2 linked regions of the Yarrowia lipolytica genome follow. The protein of the gene in region 1 interacts with the protein of each later gene in a pairwise test. Links are inferred from orthologs where the notes say so. Each region holds a gene or a part of one and is shown on either strand. Other genes may lie near its edges.

The links. The genes of interacting proteins can lie anywhere in the genome.
Region 2: the proteins of YALI1_C33299g (region 1) and YALI1_E24461g interact in a two-hybrid assay, tested with the Schizosaccharomyces pombe proteins (2 studies listed by BioGRID). The link is inferred for Yarrowia lipolytica from reciprocal best matches to the Schizosaccharomyces pombe genes snz1 and sno1.

Annotation. Positions count from the first base shown.
Region 1 is NC_090772.1:3,326,853-3,331,365, reverse strand, and holds YALI1_C33299g (uncharacterized protein), read right to left. Parts: upstream 1,407-4,513; coding exon 507-1,406; downstream 1-506. Other genes in the region: YALI1_C33270g (uncharacterized protein), read right to left, coding at 2,882-4,321.
Region 2 is NC_090774.1:2,444,330-2,448,872, forward strand, and holds YALI1_E24461g (uncharacterized protein), read right to left. Parts: upstream 1,834-4,543; coding exon 1,111-1,833; downstream 1-1,110. Other genes in the region: YALI1_E24442g (40S ribosomal protein uS10), read left to right, coding at 119-372; YALI1_E24451g (uncharacterized protein), read right to left, coding at 703-762, 806-946; YALI1_E24479g (uncharacterized protein), read right to left, coding at 2,936-3,625; YALI1_E24487g (uncharacterized protein), read left to right, coding at 4,409-4,543.

The DNA.
Region 1 (4,513 bases):
TGGCGTGATGGCCTGGGTTCGACTTTCCTAAATGTAGTTTAATTATGGTTGATTTCCAACAGCATCAAAATTTAACTCATGATCCACACGTTGCACGTTGCACAATGTACCGTAAAACGAGGGAATAGAAATAAGGAGTGAGACAGCAGTCGATCACGGCCATGGTTAAATAGCTTCGAACCGGGTGTAACAAGAAGAATTAAACCCAAATAAACGTGCTCAATCGAAACGGAAGCACAAATCCTGTGTTATACGTGTTGCTGAACAACCCCAGGACAATGCATGTGTATAGCGGCATATGAAAGGCTTCCAGTAACTCAAAGAAAGGTCGCTACTTGTACAATCTCCGACGTATAAGGAGATTTAAGACGCGTCGATAAACTGTAATCGCCTTGTCTGAAACATCTGGCTCTCTTATATTTGTTCTCATAATCGTACTCTACCGTTCTCTCGTCAACTCATTAGTCATCTATTATTTACATTGCACGTATACCTCGTAGGGAAAATTACCATCCTCGAGAAGCGAGCTTGTCGTGGGCTCGCAGAGACTCGACGGTTCGGCCGACCATAGCGGGGCCCAGGTTAGAGGAGACCTCAGCAAGAACCTTGGGGTCCTTGTAGTGGGTCACGGCCTGGACAATGGCCTTGGCTCGCTCAGCGGGGTTGTTGCCGAGGAAGATACCAGAGCCAACAAAGACACCGTCGCAGCCAAGCTGCATGCACAGAGCGGCATCAGCGGGGGTAGCGACACCTCCAGCGGCGAAGTTGACGACGGGGAGTCGGCCCTCCTTGGCGGTGATCTTGAGCAGATCGAAAGAGGCACCAATCTCCTTGGCGTAGGTGTAGAGCTCAATCTCAGACATGTGTCGGGTCTTGTTGATCTCGGACTGGATGGTTCGCATGTGCTTGACGGCCTCGGTGACATCACCAGTACCGGCCTCACCCTTGGTTCGGATGAAGGCAGCTCCCTCGTGGATTCGTCGGAGAGCCTCACCCAGGTTCTTGGCACCGCAAACGAAGGGGACCTTGAAGTCTCGCTTGTTGATGTGGTGGAACTGGTCAGCGGGGGTCAGAACCTCAGACTCGTCAATGTAGTCGACACCAATCTCCTCAATGATCTGGGCCTCGACAAAGTGACCGATTCGGCACTTGGCCATAACGGGGATGGACACGGCAGCCATGATCTCCTTGATCATAGCGGGGTCGGACATTCGGGCGACTCCTCCGTCGGCTCGAATGTCGGCGGGGATCTTCTCAAGGGCCATAACGGCCACGGCTCCGGCCTCCTGGGCAATCTTGGCCTGCTCGGCGTTGACAACGTCCATGATGACGCCACCCTTGAGCATCTGGGCCAGACCGGCCTGCAGCTTGAACTGCTCCTCAAAAGACTTCTCGACGGTAGACATTGTGTTGTGTGTGTGTTGTGGTAGTGTGGTGGGATGAGAGGTGTGGGGAACTACTATATACTTGTAGGGGAAAAAAATGACTCGGGTGGAAAATTTCAAACTCTAACTTCAGTCGGGTCATTTTGCCGCAGCAAAGCGGGGCTACTTGATTTCGGGCTAAATACGAGCTATTTCCGGGAAACAAAAGGTAGGATCCATTGGAAGCCGTGGGTGAATTGATTTTTTGTGTCAATTTTTCCATTGAGGCTTGTATAGAGTGGTTTAATGGCACTTATTGTTCCCCCCATCCAGGGACTGTCATTAAAGCGTATTTCAGTAACCGAAGTTTACTGAGAACAAGCCCTGACTCATATGGATACTTAGTTAACCCAGCAAGGAGAGTAGCAGCGGATATCTGGGGCAACCAGCCGAGAAAGTTATTCTTATCTCCGTTGAAGTGATAAGATCATGTCCTGACCCCCACTATGACACATCTACATTCGCAGCCACCAGATAACCTCAAACAGCATGTACCGTTCAGTGCCGTGTTATGCCGGATGAATGAGACTCTAGGGCTTCTGCCCCCAACTCACCCGCCCACAAACCCGCTAACGGTCAAAACACGGGGTCAAGGTGGGGCATTAGCGACTTATCATGTTAGGTGTTAGGTGTTGGGTGTGTACATACAAGCACCTTGGAATCTGGACATGTGTACACACCACACAACACTCCCCAAACAAGGCGGCTAAAGTTACGCTGACAAGGGATCGTGCGGCTATTCGACACGCACTAGACATGTGGTACGAGGTTAGGTTTTCCGGCCGTATCGGGAAGCGAGCAGCGAGCATGTACAAGCACGATACGTACCGGTACGAGTATGTCTACCTGGCTGCATCTCGGAAGCCGCGTTTAGTCAGCCGTAGGCAGGTAGCAGTAGGTAGGGTCATGTGACGTGATGTCGTTGAGTGAGTCTAACCGGAGCTAAGTACGATAGCACACACCACACAGTGACTAACAGTTGATGTGAGTCTAACACCGATTAGCCACGATTCTAAGTGTGCAACTTCCGAGATGTGGGGTACAAGTACAGTATCATTAGTCCGGAAAAGCTGCTTGTAGGGTAACATTATTAGCTTCATTATCGTATCCTACAAGTAGTATGTATATGGCGAGTGCTATAGTAGCGACTGTTTATCCCGACTACAATATATCCACTGACTCTTTGGCTCATCCGCTTGATCCTCACAAGTACGAGTATGTACTCATACCGATACAGTAGGTGTCACTGACACGGCTACCTGAGCACCGAGTCTTTTTTAGCCTCATGACCTCTACAAGTAGATGACTGTTTGAGCTGACTAAACTGCTCGAGTCTAGACACAATTGCTCACATACAAAATGGACATCATATCTTATCTGACCCAACGTTGATGTATATACTGAGAGTGTTCTATAGTCACACTACTTACATGCCAATATCCCCACATACCCACATGCTAATGCTCCAGGAACCGCTTGATGGGTCCTCCCACATTCTCCACATCCAAAAGGAAGGTGTCATGTCCATACATGGAAACGTCCTCTCCAAGCTCAATGTGATGAATGCCAAATTCGTTACCTCCCTGCTGTCTCACAGATTCTCGCAGAACTTCAGCAATCTCCTTCTGCTGCCAACTGGGAAACAGAATGTCGGAAGCAATTCCAATCACCAAGACCTTGTGCTTGGCCACATTCTTCACTCCGTCCACTAGATCCTGTCGAGAAGGAGTCTTGACCTCCGATCGCGGCTGCTCCTCAATCAGCTTATCGGGAAGAGGACACTGTGCCGCTTCATTCTCATGTTGTCGAGTTCTGGCTCGGATAGCCTTGGTGTGCTTGGTGGACTCAACACCGAGATCAAACAGATCCATACCCTTGCTAACGTATAGAAGAGAGTTGGCGTCGTACTCCAGACAGAACTTTTCGCCAGCATGATCCAGGTAAGTCTCAATGAGGAAGTCGGGACACAAAGCGGGTGCTCGGGTGGGGTCAGCTCGATCTCGTCCGAATCGCTGCTCCCATTCGGGACCTGATCTGTATGTGATGGTGGCGACCTCTCGAGCCAGCTTCATTCCGACGTGAGGGGGGACGCTGTCGTAGTAGTTGCCTCGTTTCCAGTTAGCATCGGACATGAGAATCTGACGCTGAACATGTCGCATGGCAATCGAGTAGGGATGGGATCGAGCACATCCAGAAACAGATACCACCCTGTCCACCTCGGCAGAAAAGTCGTTGGCATACGCGAGGGACTGCATACCGCCCATGGAGCTGCCTACAGAAGCATGTAGCTTTTTGATACCGAGTGATCGGATCAATCGGTTCTGACCTCGGACCATATCATTGATAGACACAATAGGAAACGAGGTTGCGTATCGCTTGCCACTGGCAGGATCGATACTGGATGGACCAGTGGATCCGTAACATCCGCCCAGAACATTTGTGCACACCACAAAGTACTTATCTGTGTCAATGGAAAGTCCCGGACCAATGAACTTTTCCCACCATCCCGGTTTGGGGTTGTCGGGGTGCGATTTGGCGTGTGAGCTGGCCGACAGACCCGTGTGGATCAAGATACCGTTGGACTTGTCTTCGTTGAGCTCTCCCCACGTTTCGTAGCCAATATCAAACTCCGGAAGCACTCCTCCATAGTCGAGATACAGAGGCTTATCACTGTGGTATGTCTTGTAGCCCTCATTGACGCCGTAACTGGGTTCCGGACCAGATTCAAAGGATTGTGTGATGCGTTGTTGTTTTGACTCTAGGTGATCCAGGCACGGAAATGCGAGTTGCGGGTTGGAAGACTTGCGTACTGTAGAGGTAGCAACCTGCCGAGCAAAGACCATGCTTTGAGGCCTGATGCCTCTGAGAATTCTTGGAGTTGAGCGAGCGAGTTTCATTGTATGCCTTGACAATTGAAGTGTAGTTCTGACACTTGAGAGTGGGAGTTGATCGCATATGTAATAAGCTTTTGTATAAATCTCGCCATGTCACATGCAGATCTGATGTGAGGTGGGCGTTGCTGGGTAGTGGGAGGGGGGAGGTTTGGTGGGGGTGTTATCATGTGACAAATCATACCTGTGCTCTACGAG
Region 2 (4,543 bases), on another chromosome or scaffold:
AAAATGGGCGCGACGAGATATGAGAATGGCAGCACTTAAGATACCCAATTACGTAACTGGAAATGACGACAGTTCCAGGACCGGGAACCTCTCTCCAAACGATGAAATACTAACACAGTCTCCGCTGACATCATCTCTCGAGCTAAGAACTCCAACGTTGGCGTCAAGGGCCCCGTCCGACTCCCCACCAAGGTTCTTAACATCACCACCCGAAAGACCCCTAACGGTGAGGGTTCCAAGACCTGGGATCACTTTGAGATGCGAATCCACAAGCGACTCATCGATCTCCACTCCCCTGCTGAGGTTGTCAAGAAGATCACCTCTATCAACATCGAGCCTGGTGTGGATGTTGAGGTCACCATTGCCGCTTAAGCTTGTTGACCCCAAAACTTGGTATAAAAAATTGCACATGTATTATTGATGTCAGGTGGTAACTTATCTACAATAACATGTATTTATTCAGTAGCAGGTATAATTGTAGACTGTAGTTGGGATCTCAAGGGTGTTTGTAGTTTGTAGTTGTTGGAAGGATATTACGGCTGAATTAATGATGTGTGTTCTAACGACGTGACTTGGAACGGAGGTAGAATGTTGTGTGTCGAACAATTTGCTTCGATATATTTGATCTAGAAATATGCTTCTGGATCTTGAGCTCGCTGCTGGTTCAATATCGGTGTACCTGAAGTACGATACCGGTGGCTACTAGTACATATTCATATCACGCAAGATCCATGTACAAAGTATTGGATGAGCTGGAGGTAACTGTGTAGCTGGCGTAAAGGGCTGGTTAGGGTCAGTACAGTACGATGATGGACGCAGCCGTACGTATCTGTAATCTGCTTATTAAATAGATACTCTCCAGGCGCCATTCATCTACGCTCTCGTAAGAACTATATGGCTCTATCCGAATGAACACCCTTGATAGGGCAGCAGACCATGCAAGCATCTGATAAGACGTGAAGTGCAACTTTTGGGGTATACCATATCACTCTGCTCTACAGCTCACACTACTTACCGCATACAGCTGATAATCCCATCCCATACTATACAAGTCATTTCCTATCTATCATGCTCCCTATCGTAGTCCATCTTGCTCTTTTCTTCAGCTTCTTACAAAAACTTGCTGAGCCAGATCTCGTGAATTCGAGTGTCGTCACTGAGCTCGGGGTGGAAAGAGGTGCCCATCATGTGGCCCTGCTCGACAGCCACAATGAGCTTCTTGGTGGGATCAGAGGGATCCTCAACCTCAGCCAGAACCTTGACGTCGTCGTTGAGAGTCTTGAAAACTACAGGAGCTCGGATGAAAACGGCGTCGAAAACAGCCTCCTTGTCGGTGATTGTAGAGGAGACTCCAAAGTTGCTAAGCTTGAGAGGGGCGATGAAGGAGCCCAGCTGTCGGCCAAAGTAGTTTCGAGACACCACCACGTCCAGGCCTCCAAAGAGAGCAGAAACGGTCTGGTCAGCGACCTTGTTTCCGTGTGCGTCAATCTCGGGGGTGCCGGCCAGAGTCTGCTTCTCGGTCTTGTGGTCGTAGATACCGGAGGAGATGAGAATCAGACCAGCACAGGTGCCCCAGGTGGGTTTCTTGTCCACAGTGACAAACTTTCGCAGAGCATCCAGCATACCGGCGGATCGCTGGGCCACCAGAGAAATGGCGGTGGACTCGCCTCCGGGAATCACCAGACCCTCGCACTTCTCCAGCTCGGTGGGGGTTCGGACCTCGATAACCTCAACATCCTTGTGGAGCTTGGCAGCGGCCTTTTCGAGATGTCGACAGTGCTCGGCGAAAGCTCCCTGAAGAGCAAGCACACCAACGGTCTGAGTCTTGGTCATGGTTGTGTGGATGTGTGTGTATGCGGTGGGAAGAAGAGAGGTGGGGTTGGAGACGGTAAAGCGCACGGTATATACGCTATATTTCTACCCTACATATTCTTACCACAAAATTATCCTGACTCTTATCTCCCAAACTCTGATCTACTGCGGGTAAATTTGAGAGGGGGTGTGGACGGTATTGTAGGCGGAATATTTGGAGTTTTAACATATAATATAATTGCTCCTAGTCAGATCATTTGATATTCACGATATCTTCCAGCCACCACATCATCATCGCCAGATAAACACTTCCTCACATTAGCATCTGGAGCGTATAAGGTTCCATTTAGCACCCCCCACCATGGAAACGAAACGGATATACGAACCGACTGTGACTAATGGAGGCTGGATGAAAAGATGGAAACGCTCCAGTACAAATCGTTTGCTTTTGTGAATCGATTCAAGCAAAAAAGTGTCACTCTTCGCTGTGATAATACTCAATTTTACTGTACTCTTTTTTATCCACATCCCGAAGTGGTAAGACACGCCGTTAGCGTATATGAGACTCGGTGATGAGGCATTAGCCTACGTCAGTGACCCGGATATCCCCACACGGACGGTTATAGGTGGTGTGACTACATGGAGCAACGGATGTGTTTCCCATTGTGTTTCAGTGTAAACACAAGCGGCAAACAATACGCATCACGTGACTATATAACGTATCCATCGTCTATCTACCATTTGGTCCCTCCTCGCAACCGCGAGTATACTGTAAACGTAAGGAGGGTTGTGGGAGTATGAGTATGAGGTAATATGTATCAGTATCGTGTGTTGAATACGCACCTATCACACAGATTCCACACAATCCATGTACTCGTACATGTATCGCACATATCAGTATGTACTTTGAATATCAGTGTATAAATTGAACATAAAACTACATCACATTAGATGCGTGCAATGTGTGCAGGCCATCAATCACAGTGCGTACCACTGTGACCACTGTGGGAGGCTTGTCACAGCTTTGTCAGTTGGTCTGTGTCTGAACAGGAATTAGAAGACATCCAGAAGACATTCGACTCGCTACTGTACAGTAGGGAGAGATTGATATAAGACGATTCGTCTAATATTTGACCTTCTTTGTGGCGAAAAGACGATCTCCAATGTCTCCGATTCCAGGAACCAGGAAGCCCTGATCGGTGAGGCCCTCATCTCCCTTGACCACGTATACCTCCACGCCCTCGAGCTTCGAAAGCTTCTCAATGCCCTGTTTGGATGCAATCAGCGACACGATGACAATATGTTCCACGCCCCACTCCTTGAGAATTTCCACCACGGCCTTGGCAGTGCCTCCAGTAGCAATCACTGGATCCAGCACAAACGCGTGGCTGATCTTGGTGGTGGCCGTGGGCAAGGGAGGAGGCAGCTTGTTGTAGTACTCCACGGGACTCAGCGTCGACTCCTCTCGGTACAGTCCCAGATGGTAGACTGCAGGGTCGTCTTGGGCGGGCAGCTGGGCCAGAAAGGGATCCAGCATGGCCTGTCCGGATCTGAGAACGGGAGCAATCACATACTCACTATCGGTGGGTTTGAGTTGGGGAACCACCACTGCATGCCCCAGGTCCGAGGTGACCGTGTTGGATCTGTCCTTCTCTTCGGGGTCTTTTCGCTGGAAGACCTTGGCCAGGACTTCGGCCGCAAACGAGCCTGAGATTTCCGCCACCAGCTGTCGGGTTTCCCGCGAGTTGAGTTTCCGGTCGCGAAGCTGCGCCAGTTTGGTCTGCAATACTGCTTGTTCTGAGGTGTATACCATTGTGAAAAGAACTGGGGGGAGGGTTTACGGTGTAAACGTGAGTAAGATAACGTGGGTCTTTTAGGCAGGCGGGCACATTGCTTTATGTACCGAGTGCTTATCACTTCTCCGGTGAACTTAATGCAGTTCATGTATTGTGGCAATATCCGTCCGTACGAGGGTGAAACACGTGTCTGAGGAACCATTCAACTTGGATTGCTGCGTGTGACCATTCAAGTGGTCTTGTGGAGCTCCATGCGCTTTTTAATCGCCATATAAACGAAGCAAACACGCATCCACTGTAAGCACTCTACCCCCAGCCCCCAGCCCCAAGGGGATCAATGGACCAAGATAAAGTTCCACCGATAAGCCCAAAAAGCGACAACGTGGTTAGACGACAGAACCCTGTTGTCTTGAGGAGAGATGATCCGGGACCTAGTGGCGACTTTTGTGGGTAAGAGAGGCTTCTTTCACATCTTTATCGATCCCAATTGTCACAAAAAACTTCCAGCAAGTCAATTGCATCTTTGTACATCTCCTGGAAGCCACATGACCTCCTCTTCCCCTCCGGAGAGCCCGACGGCATAAGAGTTATGCACGCAATGCATCCAGTGCCTTATCTCTCATTGCGAGCCATCCTGCATTCTGACCATCACAACAACTTGATTGGCGGATAATATTGCCACTTCAAAGGAAAGCATTATCGTGACTATCGTGTGCGTTACAGTGCGTTGTTACTTGACTTCCCAACGTTCCCCAACTCATACACCTTCCTCACACACATCTTGACTCGTTCGCCCCATCATGGACTACCTACTTACACTACCCTCGGTGAGAGATAGGTCGACAGCCGTGTTCAACCAGGCCAAGGTCGACAAGCTCACCAACTTCACCGCGGACTTTGAAAAGCTACCTGCCGTGGCAGAGTACGTCCATAAA